Nothobranchius furzeri: one gene and its partner. The protein of the gene in region 1 interacts with the protein of each later gene in a pairwise test. Links are inferred from orthologs where the notes say so. Each region holds a gene or a part of one and is shown on either strand. Other genes may lie near its edges.

Region 1 (11,839 bases):
AATAAATATTTCTGTATATTACTTTTGTTTTGTTCACAAACTCTATCTTCCATAGAAAGAGGCCAGCAGAGGCCAGCATACTCTTTAAACCTCTGTTGTCAAGGTAACTGCCCCTCCCCTCCTCCTCACCATCCTGCTCCAGTTTTCCTGTAATCCCAAATCACCTTCTACCTGGAATATTCTACTCTTCACCTTTCACTGTCGGCAAAGTGTCTGTTTGAATCTGCCTGAAGCTCTTGTTCCATCTCTTTAACTCCAAATTCAATAACACAATGTCTGATCTCAAGGCCACATACTGTAAAATAAAAATAAAATAAAATAGAATAAGATTTATTAAATTTAATTTAATAAAATGAAATTAAATTAAAACAGAAAACATTTTAAGAATAAAGAAGGGGTCATCTTCAGGTAAATCCAGAACATTAAAGGTAAAATATTGATAAAAAAAACTTGTGGAGACAAGCTGCTCATTGAGGATTTGTACTTGGGGAAAACATTTCACTGCGCTGCTCCACGGGTTGATTTCTAACTTTAAACTCTGAATATTTGCACCGTTTTTAAATTTACTCACAATGATCATCTCATTTTAACAAAACACTTCTACAAAGGTGCATTCAAAAGCAGCCAGACTCCTTTTTGATAAAACGAAGAAAATAAATAAATAAATAAAAGAAAACAAAACTGAGACAATGGTTCTTGGTGGCTCCACTGAGACCCCCAACATAGAAGTTGGTTCTCTGGCCCGGTACATTACGCCAACCCGTACTAACCGTGGGGTCATACTGGATGCTGGACCAAAGTTAGACAACCACATTAGATCAGTTGTTAAGTCTAGCTTTTTTCATTTAAGAAAGCTGGCAAAAGTAAAGCCCATCCAGTCCCAGAAGCATTTTGAAACAGTAATCCACGCCTTCATCCCGACTCAGCTGGACTACTGTAATGGTCTGTATGCTGGAATAAGTGCACCAGTATCTCTTAGCTTTGGAGAGTACAAAATGCTGCTGCTCGCCTCTTAACAGGCACAAGGAAGTAACATCTCCCCTGTTATGGCCTGTTTGCACTGGCTGCCTGTGCCTTGCCTTACCTGTGTGACCTGCTACACCCATACATCCCCTCTCGTTCCCTCAGGTCAGTGGGTCAGCTGCTCCTGACTGTCCCAAAGACAAAGCGTAAGCCTCGAGAAGATCGTGCCTTTGCTTTAGCAGCTCCTAGATTGTGGAATGAGCTTGCTTTAAATATCAAACAAGCCTCTTCACTGTCAAAACCCACCTCTTCTCTCTGGCCTTTGACACTACCTGAGATGTTGACTTTTAACTAGTTTTAGATCATTTTTACTATTATTTAAATGCATTTTACTTTGATTCAACCAAATTGTAGTCTGCTCAGCTTATTGTGTTAACTCTTTGGTTGTTTTATTACTCTACGTTCTAGGGTTTTATTGTTGACTGTTGTTTTTATTTGTTCTGTCTACAGCGCTTTGGTCCTGCGGGTGTTTCAAGTGCTATACAAATAAAGTTGGTATGGTAATAAAGAAATAGTTAGAGAATTTCGACACCTTTTTACTGGCGTTGTTCCTACAGGTGAAGGAGTTTGTCATTCTTCTAAATTGTTTCATCACTAACTTTCTCCTTCAAAACGTCAATTGACTCCTCCTCTTTCTTGGCATTAACAGCAAAAGGGATTAATCTTGGGATGTAAGCAAGAAGTCAGCATACACTTTAACCTTCTGTTGTCATGGCGATCCCCTCCTCAGCATCCTGCTCCACTCTTCCCTGTAATTCCTGTAATCCCACACCTCCTTCTACCCGGAATCCTCTATTCTTCACCTTTCACCCTGTGCCCTTTCACCTGACCTTGTCACAGGTCGCCACGGTGACTGCTCATCACCTCATCCATCCGGCTAAGACCAGTCATTTTGTAGCAGATCTCATTAGGTTGGACCGTTTGTGTAGGAGTTTTTGTTTTGCCCAGCCTGCCTTAAAGGATTTGTCTGCTTTCAAGTTGCCCAGGATGAGCTTAAAAGCACTAAAGGCTATTTTTACTACTTCTGTCCTACTTGTTGTCTGCTACGCTCAGAAAGAGCCAATATGAGGAATTTAACCTTGCAGCTTCAAAAAGGCAACAGCTGATCTGACAGTTTATGAAGCTCTTTATAAACAAACAGTATCAGCTGCCAAGCAAAGCCATCTTTAATATCTATTTGGTGGAAGATAAATCAGATTTTCCATGTGTAAACAAAAAGGTGTTGAGATGCTTTAGGTTTTGTTATACTAGAGTAAGCTTCTTTAATTGGCTCAACAAACTTGGGGGGCAGCAGTTGGGCTAATGGTCCTTTTATCTTTCTATTATTTCTTTAAAAATAAATGCTGCATAAAACAACAAGATCTGGCCATTGATTAAATCTACAACATACATGATTTTACTCGTGATTATGATAATATCATTAATCATTTAGTGTGATTTCTCACAGCCTCTCATGGCCTAATTCTATTATGAGGATTAATTAAAGCTTCTGTGTTCACCTGTAGTTAAGGTGTCATCAAAACAAATAAAAATGTCAAGAGCAGACCCGTGTTTGAGTGAAAAAGGTTCATTTCGAGCACATTTTTAGCACTTCTGTTAATCTTAATGCTGATATTTGGTACAATGACCAAATGATACGTACCCAATGGGCTTGCGTGAATGGTGGAAATCTTTAAGAACTCGTTCTACGTCATTGTGCAGCTTACAGTCTTTGCCATCCTTCATAAAAGATGATCTAAAGGTCAGGAATTTTGCAGTTAGTGGCACATTATATGTATATATATAAAATAAACACAATTATTTTTTACATTTGAAAACTCCTCACAGGTTCTTGATGATCCCATGACCTCCAGGAAAGATGACAGCATCAAAGCTGTTGACATCCAGAACGGACAGGTCCTGCATTTGCATCTTTCCCTGACCGTGACTGAAGCGAGCCGACTCCATCATCATGTTCCTGATTACAAATGTGTTAACATGTGATGGGGGTTAGGTCAGGTCATTCGGCTTTACGTGCAAAATGTAATCAACGGTCTCCTCAGCCCAGTGTGAGATTCCTACCGGTTCTCCCCTGAGAACGGCTGCTTTTTCATGTGATCCATCACATGCATCTGCTGCTGATTCGGAGCAAACATCTGGAAACGAGCTCCGTTTCGGCTCAGGTGGTACATGGTGCTGAGGAGAAATTTGTCACCATTTCTGTAAAATTACGCATTTATACAAATGTAAAACAAAATCCCTGATGTCCTGATACTCACTACACTCCTTCATGGACATCAGTTCCATCCCACCATCCACATCCTGAGAAAACCTAGAATACATTGATGCACAAAATCAGAACAGTTCTCCTCTTTTCATGGGTCGTGTAACAAGGAGTCAAACTTACCACTGCAACATTGGTGTTCCCCCAGGTGCCATGGTCACCGTGGTGAACAAAGCAGGCTGGCTGGCGAGAGAGAATTGCCAGTGTCTGTTTTGACAGCAAAGTCCTGGTTGCCAGCATGTCTATGATCAAGTCTCACTTTTTGAGAAGAAAAAGTGTAAGTGAAGAGTTTGCAACCGAGCCTGTGAAGACCTCTGACGGCACAGACATTTACCTCTCTGAGGACATCTGTATAAATACGTGCGGTCAAATGACGCTCCCACATTAGCTCCATTGTCTTTTCACGTCTTGACTTGTTCCCTTCCTGAACACCCTTCCCTATTAATACCTCTTTAATTCTGATTACCTTAAAGCATTTGGCCACAGGGCAAAACTTTAGCCTCAATATCTTAACTCGTTAGGAATTTGGCACTTGATGAGTCGCATTGGTTGGGAAACTGTTCAACACCATTATGCAGGCATAGTAGTATGCCATATGCCCTTTAAAGTCCATTAGGTTGTAAGACTCTTACTCTCTGTAATGCCGTGTTGAGTCTAGACAGTAATCCAGAAATACCTTTGACAGAAAGAAAACTAACATTTATAGTAAAACTGCACATTCCGTTTAGCAGGAGTCAAAATGTAGTTATAGATGAGCAGCAAGAAGCAAAATATGGCATTTATTTTATTATGGCCACTTTATGTAGAAACAATCGCTATTTACACATCAGTGAGGAGAGCACAGTGAGGAACAAAATGTAGAAAATGATAAAACAAAGTGCAATCAACTACAATCATCACACCAGCCACACGTTTAAGCCTCAGGAAGAACCTTGTGATGAGATTCTAGCTGATTATTTTCAAATGTGCATCCACCACAACCCGTAAACAGAAGACATTTACTGAACTTGTCATGTATGGTATTCACAAGGTACAAACAAGGTTTATTTTTAATAAAATACAATAAACATAACACAACCAAATTAGGATGTGAGGTTTGTTGCTGTAGCAGAACACCCTCTCTCTTCACCTGACTCACAACACAGCCAAAGACATTTTTTAAAAACGCCAAAGGCCCGCCTCACATTTTTGGAAATGTCCTTATTGTTTCTAATACAGAGGTGAACAGAGAAGACTATGTTAGTGACTAATGTCTGCAAAGCAAAAGATAGAAGACAGCACACACAATAAATAAGGTCCATTTGCTTTTTTATATAAAATAAACATTTAAAACAATCTTGTCAGTGTACGTGTACATCAGCATTTATGATGTATCAAATTAAAATGCTGTGTTGTTTTAACAAAGCCCCATCATAGCCCTGTAACTGCAACCACTGACAACGTGCTGAAAGTTTGTTTCAACAAAAGCACTGATCAGGCTGTGGCTACCCCCCAATTTCTTCTTATGAGCAGTTTAATACTCTCTGCAGTTAATTTATCTTTACATGTAAGGACCAGATCCTAAAAGCCATTTACATGCAAATCACTAACCACTTCAGTGGGGAAAGTAAGAAATATCTCCTAAACTGCTGTCACCACTAAAGAAAGATTCCATGCACCCAAGCACTGTTATTCAAGGAAGCTGTGCACTAATGTGCACACGCTGTGTTTAATGCCAAGAAAATCTGCAGCAGTATCCGTTTGCTTAAAGAGTGTGGTTTTGCACATCGAGCAAAAAGCTGAGCTGAGAGAGAAATGTGTATGCAAAGGCAAGTCTGGTTGGATTAGGGTGTGTAGGCAGGTGGTGGTTGAAACTGATTAGCAATGTCATAATCAGCAGGGAAATTCTCACTGCTATCCTCCATCTCAGAGAGCAGCTCTAAGGCCTGCTCTTCCTCTTCAGTGGGGTAGTGGCGAAGAAGGTTTGCAGCTGTGGCGAGGATGGATGCTCCACCCGCACCTGCCACCAGGTAGAAGCTGATAGCAAAAGTGACATATATAAGTGAACCGTGGTACTTCTTGTGCTGCTGCTGAAGGGACAAGATCAGCTCTGAGGCCCAGTAGCAAAAGCCTATGACTGTGGCACACTGCAACACTAGAAGGAAAAGGAAGTCTGTTAGCACAGGTAAATATGCAAAATGTTTTGTGTGTAAATGAAAGGTTTGTACCTGTGAGTATATGGGCAAATGCATATCTACGAGTGATCTTTAGGGCAGGGTGTTTCGGTCCAAACACATCTAACAGAAAAGCAGTTAGACTGCATAGGATGCCCAGGAAACAAAAGGCAGCTATGACCCTCAACAGCAGGATGGTCTGCGGGTTCACACAGTAATCTGAGGATACAGAAACGTCAAAACAAACAAAAACCATTACGAGTCAAAACAATGATCGATAATTGCTGGTTGTAAAGTAATTGTGCAGGTTCTCACCATCTAGAAGCTTTGGATCAATGTAACCCAAGACATCCGCAACCCCCAGCTCCTGCCTGGGACAGGCGCCCCCATGAACACGCACCCAGGCCGGCTCAGCCAGAGCCGTACACAGCGCTGTGATGGACAAAGCTCCGGGCAGCGCTGACACCAGGCTGCGCTCCGGCTGCTTGGGCAGGGAGGTGGCAGTTCTTCTTCTCCGGCCACCAGGTACGGTAGAGCCCGGCGGAGCATACATGATTACCAAATCTCTGTTTTTGTAGGAAGTGTTGGTTCCCTTGTCTGTCCTTTTCCTTAAGGTTTATAACTGGGATTAGCCGCCTGACACAGCTGTCAGTCGGTACAGCTGATTTTACCTGTAGTGTTAAAGGATGATAGCGGTCCAGGCGACTTGTTAGATGAAAGATATACAATACTTCCGTACGAGAACCAGCTGCTCGATAAAAAAACAGGATCTGGCTGACGAGGAAACAAAAGACAGATGGCCTTCAGGCCTGTTAGCTGTACTGTTAGCCCGATTAGCTAATTCGCAGTAAACGTCAAATATAATAAATTCTTATGACAGGATTAAAACGAATACAAAAAAAACATATAAACGCCAACCTAGAACCCAATCTTTACAACAACAATAAATAAAAATATATTGTTTTAGTTACAGAAAAACAAACAGAAAACAAAACAAAAGACAGCTTACGCTGGTTTCCTCTAAAGCATTGACTTCCTGTTTCCACCGGGTTTCGTCGTAGCTACAGTAGAACCTGTGATCACTAGCCCCACCTACCGGTTAAAAAAACTACACAACGATGAAAACTTCTCTGCATTTACCATAGACTTTAAATCTTATACATAAATCTCGCTTTTTTTATGAATAATTATATATTTTATTACGACAACTGAATTTGTTTCCGTTTATTTAAAAAAAATATATTTAAGTTTGTTTTTAAAGGAAGACGGAAGCCCACAGTGTGCACTTCCGATAAGCAAAGATGGCGGCACGTCAGTTGTGGATGTTTCTATGAACTTCTTTAATTTGCTCTTTATTGCAAGTTAATTCCTTATCTTCTCAAAATATGTTAATAGTGATAGTGGCTCTGCTGCTTTGATGGGTTTTGTTTGAGTTTCTTATCGGATTTTTCTGGGAAGGAAAAGACAAAAGTGACGAGACCTGTTAACTAAATATTTAATAGTCATTAAGTCAGTATGAAGGAGACTCTCACGCTGCTTCACAGGCTCAGCGCACACCCGGACTCTCGGTGTTGGTTTGTCGCTTGGAGCCCAAACGGGACTCTGCTGGCTTCGTGTGGCGGGGACAAGGCCATCCGGATCTGGGGACGCGAAGGTAGCCTGTCATCTCTTTCTCTCTCTTACACACACACACACACACACACACACACACACTCTGATTATTAGTTATCTGTTGGTAAAATAATTAATCTATTGACCTCGGTGACCCCCTCTATCCGTAGGAGACTCCTGGGTTTGTAAGAGTGTGCTGGAGGATGGACACCAGCGCACCGTGAGGAAAGTGGCCTGGTCTCCATGTGGAAATTATTTGGCCTCTGCCAGCTTTGATGCAACTACATGCATCTGGAAGAAGAATAACGAGGGTTTTGAGGTTAGATGAGACCTCTGTTGTTCAGTGGTGTGATTAAAAAAGCATTTAACCGTGAACTTGACACATTTGTAAATGTCTTTATAGAGTTTGACAGTGTTGGAGGGACATGAAAATGAGGTCAAATGTGTGGCGTGGGCTCCATCAGGGAACCTCCTGGCCACATGCAGTCGAGACAAAAGCGTTTGGATCTGGGAAGGTTTGTGTTTATTTACACATGTAATAAATACAATTTGATCAGATCTGGTTAATAGGTGTTTTCCCTCTGTCCCACAGTGGATGAAGAAGATGAGTATGAGTGTGTCACAGTTCTAAACTCTCACACACAAGATGTTAAGCATGTAGCGTGGCACCCGACCCGAGAGGTAGACTCAGATCTGTAGACATTATCTCCATCTGTAGCTCCATTCTCATTTTTGAGGTTATTGTCTGTTTCCTCAGCTCCTGGCTTCGGCCAGCTACGACAACAACATTTGTATTTACAAGGAAGAAGACGATGACTGGGAATGTCGCGCTACTTTGGAAGGACACACCTCCACCGTCTGGAGTTTGTGCTTTGATGCAACTGGACAGAGGATGGCGTCCTGCAGCGATGATCGCACTGTGAAGATTTGGAAAGAATATCCCTCTGAGAGTGGTCAGTAGTTATGAACAGTAACACCGAAGCCATTTATTTACAAACAAATCCTTTTTTTTACCTGCTCTGTATGTTGAAAGGTGACACGTCCTGGAAGTGTGTTTGCACTCTGTCTGGGTATCATGGACGAACAGTGTATGATGTGTCCTGGTAAGACTGAACTTCTATCAGTGATCTGAATGAATTACCTTCAAACTGACTTAAACACCATTTGTTCAGGTGTCCGCTGACTGGCGCCCTGGCAACTGCCTGCGGTGACGACGCAGTTCGAGTTTTCAGAGAGGACGTGACCTCTAATCCAGAAGAACCTGTATTCTCGCTGGTTGCTCAGGTAACCAAAGCTCACAACCAGGACGTTAACTGTGCTTCCTGGAACCCGAAAGAAGCTGGAATTCTTGCCTCCTGCAGCGACAATGGAGAACTTGCCATTTGGAGGTTCAAAGAAGACTGATTCAGTGACAAATGCACCGAAGTGCTTTTGGTTTTAGATCTCATACTGGGAACTTTATCTTTAAGGCACCACATCTGTTATTTCATGGCTTGATTAATCTCGTTTTAATTTTTGTGATCGGAAAACCGCTGCAGCTCATCTTGTACACTTTTTAAAAATGGCTTAATCAAACATGTTTATGAATAAATACAAAAACACAAGACTGTGTGGTTTCATTTTAATAAAAAGAAAAGAACATGCCAGACAATAGATTCTTAAAAACATGTTTACTAATCTAGGGAAAACCATTTTACATCTGCAATGTAACTTTAGACATAATCTGAAACCAAATTGTTGCATCTTTTATTTTAAAAAGCAAACCTGACAAGAAAAGTACAAAATTATGCTTCCCATATTTAAAGCAGTATTGTCAGTGGATCCAGCTGAATCCAAAACATGCATTTCATTTTTAATACGGAAAACAGATCCTGCACACCAATTTTGGACTGTTTCATCAATCGGGTCACTAAAAAAAACTGACATACTTTGGGCAAAAGTGAGAAGTTTAAATTCAAAGAAACAAATCAGGTTGAATATCTACAACACACCCATTGATTCCCTCTCAAATGGAGACAACACAGTATTCAGTAAAACTTAGTCTGAGTCACTTTCTCCCTCGCTGTCGGCCTCCTTCACATCCACACTGAACTTGTACTCCTGGTCACAACCCATGTACGCATCACTCATGAAGTACAGGGTGTAGTGGTGAACGCCCACTGCAGGTGCAACAAAGTCCAGCTTCACCTGTGGAGGAAGTACAGAAGAAAACAGGAAATGAGGCCTTCTACTGGGAAGGGGAGAACATTTCTGCTGTATTACACCGACCTTTGCTTTCTGCTGAAGAGTCAGCCTCTTGATGGAGATGAGGCTGTTAGACTTGGGGTCTCCAATAACGACCCACCAGCCCTCCTCACGTTTCTGCAACAACAAGAACACGTCACCACGATCCACTTTTACACACCGCTGAAACAAACGGGATCTTTGGTGAATGACGGAACAAACCTGAGGGAAGAGTGGCGCAATAACCGGACCAGTCACCTCCTCCTCTCGCTCCAGCTGCACCTGAACCAGAACTGAACTGCCGCTAAGAAAAACAAGTTCACAATGTTAACCGATGTTAATCGATTAAATTGATCCTCAACCGTAAAACTTAATTATGCTTTCAAAGCTTACATAAATAAATCTGCTGAGAAACACAAACCTTTTGACATTGTCCCTCTCTGCTACTTCATAGGACAGCTCGATGTTGGGGTAACGGTTACAGAAGCGAGCCACATCAGCCATCTGGCTGTCTGACAGCTGCAGCAGACCGGATCTGTCCTCATCCTCCATTTCCATTATGTCAAAGATACTGTCCACACCCTAAAGAGAGCAACAAGGGATGTTTTCATCTACGTTTGCTTCATTCATAACCAAATGTTAATACCAACTAACCTTGTCAGTACAACGCTTGATGTGTTCGGAGGTAAAGTGAGGCAGCTGCTTCAGATACGAGTCCTTGGACCACATGGCCTGGGTGACCATCTGGGCCAGCTCCATAGCGGCTAGAGCGGGACTCAGCCAGCCGTTACTGGACAACACGTCGACGCAGGCCTGAATCAGACGGATCGCCTACAAACAAACGCTCTCGTCACATAAAACACGCTGGGATCAAATACAGAAACGTGGCTGAGTCACAGCAAAACATAGTATTCAGGGATCTGAACCTTGCTGAGGATGTCTTCGGTGTCCGACTGGAGCTCAGCACTCAGCTGCATCCTGGATAGGTGAGCTTGCAGCAAAAGGTTTGTCTTCACATGGGGGTCGTTGAACTTCGGATTGTTCAGTTTGTGGGGCACTTTCTGTGCCAGCTGAAGGAAAAAGCAGCTCAAAGTTAAAGATGTTGCAGCACAAAAGGCACCTACACACTGGGTCAGTACCAGACCGGAATTTGGTTTCACACCTGGGTAGGGCTGGGCCTAACCCAATTTATCGTTATTGAAATTTCTGACAGAATTTTTCCCATATCAATAAATTTGATAATAAAAAAAGAAAAGATGTGTATAGGTTGGCAATGTTAATGTCCCTTTAAGAAGCGGTACCACCTTGAGTCACGTAAATATGTGACTCAACGTAAAACATGTGACAGCCCCATGTAGTGGACAACTTTTGTTTCTGCACATACATGTAGTTATCGTTCATTTATCGTTATCGAGGTGAAATCCTCAATATATTGTGATACTGATTTTAGGTCATACCGCCCAGCCCCACACTTGGGCCACTTATGAGTTTTCTGTTCTGAGGTACCTCTTTTTTTCAGACCTCTTTCTCAAAGGACCGACTGGGACCGAGGTGACACTACGGACTGATTGGCTGACTGAAATGATCATCTACTGCCTCAAGTAGAATCAGCCAGCAGGGGGTTTACGCATGAACATCCTGGATGTTGTTGAGTAAACATCTCAGTCTGTAGCACAGAGCTCCCGGAAGAGAGAGTCGTGTATGTCCTCTGAGCAGCGAACATCTCTGCATGAAGCTCTTGCTACAGCTGCTCAATGGATGGAGAGAGCAGCGAGCGTGTGTGTGTGAGTGGAATTTGAGGACATGCACAGCAGTGAGAGAACAGGGAGCACATTAATAAAAGAATGTGCTTCGGTGTCTCCAAAAGCAACACAGCTCACACCTGCCTTTGCTTATCTTAATAAGAAGGACACCACCAGCGCATTTTAAACGCCGCCCACGTGCTCGGGGATTTCTGCATTCTCGAGAACTCCTTCGGGAACACTACACTGCCCGTATGAGACCCAACTGACGCTATCCTCCCACAACCGTACTGACCCTAAAGTGTAAGCGGCAAAAGACGCTACTCTAACGTGGACTTGTGTCGGTGTGTTTACCTGTCGGAGGAGCATGTCCTCGTGGTGCCTGATGGGAATGTTCTTATATTCAGCTGCGTTAGAGATGATTTCAATTAATCCTCGACTCTTGGTCTTGGCATTCAGGGACATGCTGAATAACTCTGTTGAACAACAACAAAAACTTTGCTGTGAAGTCTGAGGTCCAGGAAGCAACATAAACCCCATAGAGAGGTGAGTGTAGCTACAAACCAATGGTGGTGTAGTTTATGTAGTAATAAGCTGCGATCATGCCCAGATTGAGGGGTGCAACATCCATCTCGTCCTCGATGCTGATGCACTTGGACTGCTCCAGGTCATGTAACGTGTTCTCCACCAGCTCAGACAGGTGGTCAGACAGGTGGCGATGGGACATGCCTGCCACAGAACATAAGACTCAACAAGAAACCCCTAAGCCTGGTCTGGTCAAGTGTGATGTGGTCTCTGCCTTAAAGGATGCTAACCCTGCAGGT
Region 2 (11,780 bases), on another chromosome or scaffold:
AACTCTTGAGCCTTTGAAAAGTCCTCCCTGCTCCTGAGAGGTTTGTGCCACATTTTTTGTAAAATTATAATGAAATACATAATTCCCAGAATCAAACGTGATAATTTGTCATTTTCATTTGTAATTTGAGCTTTTGTGTTCTGGTGTTACATTCAGTTAAACAAGCAGACATGATGAATGTAGTTTCTTTTAAGTAAAATAGAAATAAATAAATAAAAAAGATATTCAGTGTTTGAACAGTGTGCATCAGCAATCAGTGTCAGACTATGTCAGGGTCACAAATAATAAGTTTCCATCTACATCAGATATGTGGTTTATGAGCTGAAATTCATATGTGGAGAGTTTCTTGTAATATATTTATAAATTAACAACATTTCAACACTTTTGACTTTAAAAAATGTTTTAAAAGTGAAGATTTAGAATCAAACCTTTATATATTGAACTGATCCTTCAAATCTAAATCTAAAAAGGTAAATTTAACATTTAGGATCTAACCCAAATAAACACTCTCACATCTAAATGCTCAAGTCCTAATCTAAATGTGGTGGTTTCTGTTTTTCAATTTTCAAAAATGACTTTATCAAAGAAAATCATGCAGCCTGGCTACACCTTGAATTTTCCTAAATCAGTGGAAAATTCCAGTATGGATTTAGTGTTTTCTGTGCAAAAGGCAGACAAAATATGAACAGTTCTATCTATTTCCCTGGACAAGATGATAGAATGTCAAGACTAGGAAATTTTACGTTCAAAGAGCATCTCAAATATTTGATCAGTCTTTCTCTTCATCATAATTTTTTTATTTTTGTCTTTTATAACTAAAATATAAAGGAAGAGAGAAAATGGTGCAGAAGCGTAAAACCATATGACATTCGGAAGACCGATAACACAGACAGTTACATTATTTAGCTAATTAAATTACATATTTTCGATAGATAAAAACTTGCAAAGTGAATTTATTGACCTTTAAATGCAGCAGTCCAAATAAATGTTCTTGTAGTGATGGTGTGGTGGCTTTTCCAGTATTAAAACTTAATATTTATCTACATGCTCATCCAGACTGCCTTAAAGGTGTGGTTCATTAAAAAAACATTTTTAATTATTTTTTCTGATTATAACCGGTCACTCTGAATTTTTTAAGCAGACTGAACATGAAAACAGTCTCTTACACCTATCCAGGGGCGGCGTTAGGCCCGGCTACTTGGGCTCAAGCCCCGAATATTTTATGAAAAGCCCCGGATCTAAATGGTGGAAGTAACATGCAGTACCAAAGTCCAACAGAGAGGGAGCAGCTGGCAGTAGTTTGTATACAGCCTGCCTGAACCTCCACCACTGAAGAAGAAGCCTTTCAGCAGCCGGCTTCTACAGTCTCTGCCTGAAAAGCATGAGTGAAGATGGACATAAGGACGTTTTTAGACAAATGGTACCGCAACAGAACCCAAGCTTTAATGAGACTGGTGTTGACTCAGGTTTGTGAGTCTTATTTGAAAATATTTGTTGTGCTGTTGGTTTGCCTAAAGTTAGCTTACTATCAGGTAAAGTTGATGGAGAAAGAAAGGGAATATTTACAATCATCTCACACTAAACACTAACAGGAACAATAGTCTAGCCTGAATATGCTTAATATGTAGCTTCCGATTAAAAATTATGTGGTACAAGACAAATATATATGATGTTGACTAGTGCGTGTCACGTGTGTGCGCGTGCGTGTGTGTGTGTTAAGCCCCGGATCTTCTTGAAAGTGGAAACGGGCCAAATGCATTCTGAAAAGCCATGTGTAGTTTCTTCATTACTGTTTCATTCCGTAAAGTAATTTCATCACAAGTGGGCCGTATGGAAGGAAGTAGAGTTGCATTGAAAAATGGCCATGTCTGACCACATACCAAATTATGTGCCAGAGCGTTAGCTAGCATGTACAACTTGCAGCCTTGTCTCTTCACTTCACTTAGAATGTGTTCCAAGTGCTTTACTTTGCTCCCCACGTACAAGACTTTTCATATGATGGTTTGTAATTACAATATAAATCACTTCCATATAGGCCGATCTTTGAGAGTTTCTGGTAAATGTCACAGGTGGGTAATAATCTGCCCATCAGTGCCCACGTTGCTGACCGTTGGAGCTTTTTACAGTCAGGTCCATAAATATTGGGACATTGACACAATGCTAACATTTTTGGCTCTATACACCACCACAATGGATATCAAATGAAACGAACAAGATGTGCTTTAACTGCAGACTGTCAGCTTTTATTTGAGGGTATTTACATCCAAATCAGGTGAACGGTGTAGGAATTACAACAGTCTGCATATGTGCCTCCCACATGTTAAGGGACCAAAAGTAATGGAACAGTTGGCTTCTCAGCTGTTCCATGGCCAGGTGTGTGTTATTCCCTCATTATCCCAATTACAATGAGCAGATAAAAGGTCCAGAGTTCATTTCAAGTGTGCTATTTGCATTTGGAATCTGTTGCTGTCAACTCTCAAGATGAGATCCAAAGAGCTGTCATTATCAGTGAAGCAAGCCATCATTAGGCTGAAAAAACAAAAGAAACCTATCAGAGAGATAGCAAAAACATTAATCGTGGCCAAAACAACAGTTTGAAACATTCTCAAAAAGAAGGAACGCACCGGTGAGCTCAGCAACACCAAAAGACCCGGAAGACCACGGAAAACAACTGTGGTGGACGACCGAAGAATCCTTTCCCTGGTGAAGAAAACACCCTTCACAACAGTTGGCCAGATCAAGAACACTCTCCAGGAGGTAGGTGTATCTGTGTCAAAGTCAACAATCAGGAGAAGACTCCACCAGTGTGAATACAGAGGGTTCACCACAAGATGTAAACCATTGGTGAGCCCCAAAAACAGGAAGGCCAGATTAGAGTTTGCCAAACAACATCTAAAAAAGCCTTCACAGTTCTGGAACAACATCCTATGGACAGATGAGACCAAGACCAACTTGTACCAGAGTGATGGGAAGAGAAGAGTATGGAGATCCTAAGCATACCACCTCATCAGTGACTCATGGTGCTGGAAGTGTCATGGCGTGGGCATGTATGGCTGCCAGTGGAACTGGTTCTCTTGTATTTATTGATGATGTGACTGCTGACAAAAGCAGCACGATGAAATCTGAAGTGTTTCGGGAAATATTATCTGCTCATATTCAGCCAAATGCCTCAGAACTCATTGGACGGCGCTTCACAGTGCAGATGGACAATGACCCAAGCATACTGCAAAAGCAACCAAAGAGTTTTTGAAGGGAAAGAAGTGGATGGTTTTGCAATGGCCAAGTCAATCACCTGACCTGAATCCAATTGAGCATGCATTTCACTTGCTGAAGACAAAACTGAAGGGTAAATGCCCCAGGAACAAGCAGGAACTGAAGACTGTTGCAGTAGAAGCCTGGCAGAGCATCACCAGGGATGAAACCCAACATCTGGTGATGTCTATGTGTTCCAGACCTCAGGCTGTATTTGACTGCAAAGGATTTGCTACCAAGTATTGAAAAGTATAAGTTTGATTTATGGTTCTTCTTCTGTCCCATTACTTTTGGTCCCTTAACAAGGGGGAGGCACATATGCAAACTGTTGTAATTCCTACACCGTTCACCTGATTTGGATGTAAATACCCTCAAATAAAAGCTGACAGTCTGCAGTTAAAGCACATCTTGATCGTTTCATTTGATATCCATTGCGGTGGTGTATAGAGCCAAAAATGTTAGCATTGTGTCAATGTCCCAATATTTATGGACCTGACTATATATCCCAGGTTGTGCTCTGCCTGTCAACACCTTTGGAGACTCATTCAAAGCACATCAGGTGAGCTTCTCTGGACTCAGCAGCACAAGCAGCTCAAAGTAGGTAATTTTTTATTTGGATCTACAGGATGACAGCACACAGTACACAACAGGGGACAAAGAACGTTATCTAACCCACACTGTCTATTTGTCTGACAATGATTTCAGAGGCAGATTTGAGAATTAGTTTTGGATTTTAACTCTTAACAGGTCAAAGTGTCCTGATCTTTGAACTGTCAAAGGTTTCCCAGTTTCCTGTTCATCACTCTAGAGTTTGGGTTGTTTTTCTTGTTATTAAAATGCTTATTTATAATAAATGCTTGCATTTTACCAACCTGCACATGCCTAAGTATTACGGCTCGTCCTTCATTTAAAACCCCAAACATGGTTGTAACAATAGTTTTCATATTTAACTTAATGAAACTGAATCACTGACTGGAATAATCAATCACAATGTCAGATGTTCGTATTGTTACAGTATTTTGCCTAATTCCTCCATTGCTGCCCTTATACAACTTTTCTTTTCTTTTGTGAAGTGTCACAGGTGTCTTCTGTGGTACGTTATCTCATTATCTACACATTTTTCCCCTAACAGGTGCACGTGTCATGGTAAAGTTTTTTTCACAATTGCTGATCTTCCTCATTTCGCTTTACTTCTACAGCTCATTAGAAGAAATAAACAAGTCCAGAGATGAAATTAATTGAGTGTCAGATTTTAAGCCAGGCCTGGTGACCATGCAGGACCTGATAATCCTAATATACTGTTGTGGGCTGAGTTTGTCTCACGTGTTCTTTTATATGGATTTCATCAAATTTCTTTTCTTTTTTTTTTATTGCAGATGTTTATTTTTCCTACGGCTCAGTTCTGAAAAAAAATACAGCATCTGGTATTCAGCAGATTGTGACAAAATTTAAATGCATGTAAATAATATTGCAAGAATTGTTTTACTGATGTTGTATGTTGGCAGAATATTCCATCAGGTGCAAAAGAAGAATTTATTTCTGCTTATTCACAGGGGCAGCTTGCAAAAAATGTGTGAGGGTGTGTTTAAGGACAATAAAATCTAAATTAGAGAAGATGCACTGACAACAATTTAGATAGCAAACACACACACTCACACACATGCAATGCTAACCTGATTTGTGTACATGATTCAGAAAAGAAGGCATGTTGTAAAAAAAAAAAAAAAGAAGCCACTAAACATACTTTAAACATTTTGGTAACAGAAATACTCATAGTGTAGAATTTCTGTTAATTTTCTACTTTAACTCATCAATGTTTCCTGTAGTTCATTGTACCAGTTTCACTGCTTTAGTTTGGGTCTGCCTCAATACTCTAAGTTTTAGTAATCCGCTGCAACCCTTTGTTAATGTATTTTTTGTAGGTGATTGTAATTCCTGGTTAGCCCTCTTTTCTACTTAAAGCATTGAAATTCTGTTGGTTTTCAACAATGTTTGTCTATAGTACACTGTAGCAGTTTTACTGCCTTAGTTTTAGTCTCCTGACACCTTCAGCTGACCACATTTAGTTCTTTTCTCAATTTTTTATTATGTTAGTCTTCTAGTTTTAGTATATCTAATTCCATAGTTCATTTTTGTGCTTGTGTGTTTTGTCTGTTCTTACTGCTGTAAAGCACCTTGAGTTGCCTCTGTGTGGGAAATGTGTTATATAAATAAAGCTGTCTTGTCTTGTCTTGTCGGTCCAAACCTATTTATGTCGATGGTCCAAACACGTTAAGGTTCTGAGATGAATTATTTGTATCATGTAGCAATGTGTGATACGTTTTTATGCCACAAGATGGGGTGCAAGTTCTATGTTAAAAGTGATCCTCAAGGAAAAGAGGCTGTTTAAAAACTTTATTTAACAAAATAGAAACCATAGAGGTTGTTGCACTTCAGATAAGTTGTTTCTTTTGGCGTGTGTTCAATAAAGACAAGAAAAGAAAGCTCCTGACTCTGTAATCCTTTCCTTTAAGTTTATTCCTGCAAAATATTCAACAATTTAAAATAATATGTCCGGACTTGTTTGGTTTGCTTTAGTACAGCATTCATACAGTTGACTCTCCCATATTTCAGTTAGAATTGAAAAAGCTCCTCGGATGAGAAGCGAAACGTCTTCAAGAATCCAAAGAAGTCCAGTTGCCTTCATTTAAACCCATGACCTGGATCACTGAGAACCTTCACCGGCATATTTAATCAGAATAACGTTCATATTTATCATGATGAGGCTTAATTGATATCAACAATCAGGGTGCGTTTGATTATTTGAAAATTTTTCAAAGAATGTGTCTTTCATTATTTAACTTTTCTTACTGGTAGGACATTAATCCACCAAAATTATCAATTAAAAAGTGACAGTTACATTTGTTGCATTTATTTAAAATTCTTATTACTATAGAAAATACATATTTTAACTTGGTCGGGTGTTTTTCGAAGCAAACGTTTAAATCTACGACTTTTAGCAGAATTCCAGCCTTTATTTTATTGGTTTGTTTCAGGGTGTTTTTCTCACTGGATGAGCGCTGTTTCTTTAAGAAGTTCATGACGTCACACGTCATTTCCCGTTTATCCCGGAAGTAAACCACTGGAGCTCTAGAGAAGTTTTTCAGATTGGGAGTGTTTTTTTAAGTTTATTTTGGGCTAAATCATACTTTAAAATGTCCCGAGGGGTCCAGATGGAAAACGCAAACCCCGTGATCTTCCAGCGCTGCAGGGACAGGCCGCTGACTGCGTCCGAAGAGGATGAAGACGTTCACGACCTCATCGACGACAGAGAAATATTCGATATCCTCGATCCCTTTCTCTGGTTTAGGCTAATTTAACTACTGAGAGGCGCAAAGAAACGTTTATTTTACTCAGATGATTAAATGGTACATTTCCTTAGGAAAACGTAGAGAAATCTAGCGAATTAAAATAAAAGCCTGACCACTGAAGTACGGGAGACATACATTATGTTTAGAGTGGCTTATATTATTATCTACAACTGCATCGATTACACATCAAAGAGAAAAGCTGTTTATTATATATTTTAAATAATTCTTTAACTGAAGTTACATCTGATCCGATCCATCAATGATCCAGAACATCCTTTGTCTCTTGAGGAACTCAATGTGGTGGAACAAGTTCGAGTCAAGGTATGTCCTCTCATTTGAGTCTAATTTATTAATTGTAAAACCAAACAAAAAAGGAAATTTAATATGGTGGGATAAATGTGAGCAAAACTAATGTGCTCACCAGTAGGGATAAACTGATATAGCTGGGCGATATTTACCTATAAATATATCGGCGTCAGCCTATAAAACGTATTAGTTAAACTGATTAAGGCAGGCACATCTTAGGGCAGCTTGGTGCTGTTGCATAATTTAATTTAAAATACTTTTTTACTTCCTGAATAACATCTGCATAATAAATTCTCACTATTTCTCAACTATAATTTACCAGCTTTGAATATTTAATATTTGGTCAATTCATAAATTTGTTTGATTAACTTTATTTAGATGTCTGACTTTAACACTGACCAGAGCACAAAATTAAGATTTAATAGTTAGTTAAATTCAGTGTTCAAAAACTGATTCAGCTTAAGAATTGTGTGCATCAGTTGATGTTATTAGTGACATTTTATCATTAAGTGGAAAATGTGTATATAAAATTAGCCCAAAACAAATATCGGCCATTATCGGCTGGTCATATCTCCTACACATCGGTATCGGCAATGGAAAAACCAATATCAGACGTCTTCCACTCACAAGTTCTCCATATTTTTTTAAATAGGTTAGGGATCAAGTCGAAGTTTGACACTTTGGTCCTTTTACGCTACTGACATTTGTCCCAAATTCCGTGTAAAATATCAGTTTCATTTATTGGATTTATATAGTACATTAAAGGTTATATGTCCAGATCATCAAAGTGTTGTTCAAATGAAAAACAATGAACAAAGAGACAGAATCAGTAAAAAGTGGAGGTGCATCGATCTATTGGCCCTGATCTCGGGTTTTTTTTCAAGATCGAGGATCGACCGTAAACTGCAATTGGTTCCCCCCTTGTTAATGTTAAAGCAAATCATTGATATAAAAAAATTATTTGGACAAGTGTGTCAAAAGTTTTGTTTTCAAAATTAGAAAAATGAAAGTCTTAAGGAACTGACAGATTTTTCTCAAGATCGGTGGTCAGCCAAAAACTGCAATTGCTGCACCCCCTTAGTAGAAAGTGAGGAATAAACTAGAATAACACAATGCTACAAAGTGCTAAAAGCCTTTTTGATTAATAAAGTTTTAAGTTTGGATAGAAAATGGCTCAGGTCAGTGACCACACGTAAATCTAAAGGTAGCTGGTTCCAGGGCGACACAACCGAGAGCTCAGTCACCCCAGTGATTAAATGTAGTTCTTGGAAGTTTGAGGAGAAATGGAGATGAAGACCTCAGCGATCTGACACGGACACTCGGTTAATCTGAGACGTAAGGTGGGGCCAAACAATTAAGAGCTTTAAAACAAACAAAAGTTTAAAATCTTTCCCAAAACAAACAGAAGCGAGTGGAGGGAAAATAAAACCAGAGCTATGGGCGCACATCTTGAGGTGTCTTTTAAAAGGTGAGTGGCTGATTTTTTGACCAAATGAAGCATTTTCATGGACGGCTGTAGGAAACTAACATGAAGAACATTACAGTAGTCAATTGTCATGCTGATAAAGGCACGAATCATCTCCTGGAGGTAAAATATTGACATTTGAATTTGCCAAATGTAATTGTCAAAATGATTTAATAGTGTTTTCAGGCCTTGTATACTAGCAAACATATCAAGCTAAATAAACATTTTAAAGAAGATAATACAAATGTGTCGAAGCTCCAGCTTATGTCCGAGTTCACTGCTGAATGGTGTTAAAAGCACTGAAGAAATCAGTAAGCCTGGTCCTCACAGTGCTTCCAGGCTGCTCCGGCTGGGCCACAGCTCAGTGGACGGTGGCATCGCTCCTAATACCTGGCTGGTAGGTGAGCTGCAGAAGAGTCAATGAAGACCTCACCAGGGGGCGAAGAAGGTTCAGATTGCAGTTGTATTTATTTTTGGCTGAGCTTTTTATAAAACAACACATATTTGCAGGTCAACAAACGTATTAGAGCACAGGCGTAAAATCAGTCTACTTATTGACAAGATTTCAATAGTTAAGCCCAGGTTTGCTGCTCAGAAAAATCTAATGACTACTTTTTGTGCTTTTGTCATTTTTTAAATAGGTCAATGATGCAGAAAGCACGGTAGGTGTTGAGTTTACACCCACCATACCACACTGCAGCATGGCAACGCTCATCGGACTGTCGATCAAAGTCAAGCTTCTGCGCTCCCTGCCAGACAGGTTTAAAGTATGTGTGTGTGTGTGTGTGTGTGTGTGTGTGGGGGGGGGGGGGGGGGGGGGGGGCTGATAGTTGCTTTTCCAGTATAAATGTTTGTCTAATATTTTTGTTTTTCTTTTCTCACTCAGATTGATGTTCACATAACTCCAGGGACTCACGCCTCAGAGGAAGCAGGTAGGAACATCACACATTCACCTTAACTGTTAGTACTTTATTCGTGTTTTTTAACTTACTAAATGTTTTTGCACATTCAGTGAACAAGCAGCTTGCAGATAAAGAGCGAGTGGCCGCAGCTCTGGAGAACTCGTCTCTGCTGGAGGTGGTCAACCAGTGCCTGTCCAGCAGGAACATCTGAACAGCCTGTCCTGTTTTTTTTCCTCCTGTGAGACTCTGAACAGTGTGACATTTCAGTTACTTGCATCTGTCTGTCATCTGGAGCTGCAGTTGCATTTCCAGCAGCAAAACAGCAGTCTGGGTTGCATAAAAGCCTGAATAGTTGAATAAATTTGAATAATTGGAACATAAAGTGATGGTAAATGTATCAGAAAAGTGAAGTTTATTTTAAATAGATGCATCAAACCTGCAGAATTGCTTTGTCACTTGTAAATAGTGCTTTGTAAGTTTTAATAAATGTTTTCATTAGTAGTCAAATACATTTTTTAATTCAAACTTTGTATTTAATTAGAAAACAAATTAATTTAGGTTTACACAGAAAATGGGTTTGTATTTTTTTAGTAACAAAATATTTATCAGCTACATGCATTTATTAGAACAAATCAATTACACATTATTTATAAATGTTGAATTAGTTTACTGCCAGGAGCACCGTCATAAAGTTATCAGGGTGGTGGAAGATACGATATTTGCTAGGAATCCGCCATCAGAAAGGGCAAAAAATCAGACGATTTTCCAAGGAGGTGAAGGCCTCAGAATTTGTGTTGCGACTAAAATAAAACCTGGCATTTCAAGTTCAATACAATTGCAGACACATTAAAGTGGAAGTCACTGATCAGTCTCAGTTTGATGTCTTTCCTGTGGTTTTTGTACTTTTTCATGGCCGTTGGTCGCAAACAGTTACAACTCAGTGAAATATTGGCTTTAGAAGAGTGGAAAACCGACAAGCAAATCTGAATGTTGTAACAAAAAAATGTGTCTTTTTAAGTTAATATCACAAACTTATAAATCCATAATAATGCATTTGTTTTAATACCAATGTATATTTTCAGTATAATCGTCACACATTGCTTTCAAACTTACTTTCTAACTATAAAACTGTTTTTAATTGAAAGGGAAAATATGTAATGTTTGAAATGTCCACTAGATGTCGCCCTCTTCCCGTCAAAATTTACTACGCATCAGTGAACAATTTTTCATTAGATCCAGTTTGTTGGCAATGACAAACGTGACAGGCAGTGCCAAAATAAGATGTAAAGTTTTTCTTTTTACAATGACAGTTTGAGTTGAAGCTGGAGGTAAATGTTGAAGCCCTGATTTGATTGCCATCTTGACAGCCCGGCGCCTATTATGGTGCGGTTCTGTAACAACTTGGCACACGACGCATTGCAACAAAACAAAGTGTCACTGTGGCTTTTTCCTCCCCCCTCCCCTTTCTTCCCTCGTTCCACACGGTTCCACATCTGGAAAATTGCATCACAGCTGAAGTACCGGATATGGTACCAGCTGGAACCAGTGGCATCAAAATAAAAGTCGGAACGTTGCGTGACCGGAAGTAATCAAATCCAATGAGTATTTTTTAATCATTATTGTTTAGTGGCAGAAATAAAGCTCATCGTGGATTTTTGTTAGACTAAATTTACGTTTTTTTTATTCCTCCCTCTCTCAAAAAAAAAAAAAAAAAACCCCACTAAAAAACCTGGTCCAGCCCTGTTTCTTCGGTGATCTCGGTGAGACCGCCTTCTCTGCTTCTGCTCTGTAGACTTCAGGATTGGCTGCGCAGCTCTTCATCACGAACCGCAGGATATTGACGGTCGATGGGACATCTTTTTGGCTCTTAACTGCATTCCTTACTCTCCGAGGTACGCTAACAAACGTTTCATTTACTTTTGGTCTAGTGTTGGTTTTGTTGTCGGCTGTGGGAAAGTAGTTCCCGTGAAGCGGAAACCATGAGAGTCCTGTTGGGGGTTAAAAAGCTGAAACAAGTTCTTGACAAGTTCTTGAAAGCAGCTGGGAATGATTCCAGCAGTAATGGCTTGTTTATTTCACCGACTTAAGAAGAATTTGGTCGGTTAGACGTTCACCGTGATATGGCAGCGGCTTTGGTAACAGTGGGCCATTTTCTTCCCCATAAAATGTGATTTAAACAAAAGACCATTTCCCCCCTATTTTAACTCGAATCATGTTTAGGAGGATGAGGCTCGTCACGAATGGTCAAGCATGTGTTTTGAGTTGTGAGCTGCAAATGTGACATATTTCAGCTTTACACACGCACGCGCGCGCGCCCCCCTGAAAACAGCTAAAAAATGCACCGGGTACACATGTGTAAAGGACACTTTTTGCTGCGTATGACTCAAGTTTATGCTTTTATTTTGTTGTCTTAAAGAGCTGAATTTAAACGAATCGCATAATAGATGAATGGGAGCTTTTTCTCATTGCCAGAATATCTGCAGAGTATTATTTTAGCAGGTCTGC

Evidence for each region.
Region 2: the proteins of ciao1 (region 1) and ciao2b interact in binary tests that used the Homo sapiens proteins (3 or more experiments, as listed by UniProt). The two-hybrid records come from large-scale screens. The link is inferred for Nothobranchius furzeri from reciprocal best matches to the Homo sapiens genes CIAO1 and CIAO2B.

Annotation. Positions count from the first base shown.
Region 1 is NC_091757.1:37,105,253-37,117,091, reverse strand, and holds ciao1 (probable cytosolic iron-sulfur protein assembly protein ciao1), read left to right. Parts: upstream 1-6,717; 5' UTR 6,718-6,954; coding exon 6,955-7,093; intron 7,094-7,220; coding exon 7,221-7,369; intron 7,370-7,453; coding exon 7,454-7,565; intron 7,566-7,642; coding exon 7,643-7,731; intron 7,732-7,807; coding exon 7,808-8,003; intron 8,004-8,083; coding exon 8,084-8,153; intron 8,154-8,222; coding exon 8,223-8,454; 3' UTR 8,455-8,654; downstream 8,655-11,839. Other genes in the region: gatd3l (ES1 protein, mitochondrial), read right to left, coding at 2,666-2,758, 2,849-2,980, 3,085-3,198, 3,282-3,334, 3,410-3,526; tmem127 (transmembrane protein 127), read right to left, coding at 5,110-5,420, 5,494-5,658, 5,755-5,992; snrnp200 (U5 small nuclear ribonucleoprotein 200 kDa helicase), read right to left, coding at 9,088-9,237, 9,319-9,411, 9,496-9,577, 9,695-9,855, 9,928-10,104, 10,200-10,343, 11,370-11,491, 11,580-11,744 and 1 more. UniProt on the Homo sapiens protein: Key component of the cytosolic iron-sulfur protein assembly (CIA) complex, a multiprotein complex that mediates the incorporation of iron-sulfur cluster into extramitochondrial Fe/S proteins.
Region 2 is NC_091752.1:28,656,751-28,668,530, reverse strand, and holds ciao2b (cytosolic iron-sulfur assembly component 2B), read left to right. Parts: upstream 1-6,270; 5' UTR 6,271-6,446; coding exon 6,447-6,573; intron 6,574-6,843; coding exon 6,844-6,923; intron 6,924-9,014; coding exon 9,015-9,140; intron 9,141-9,259; coding exon 9,260-9,305; intron 9,306-9,385; coding exon 9,386-9,486; 3' UTR 9,487-10,149; downstream 10,150-11,780.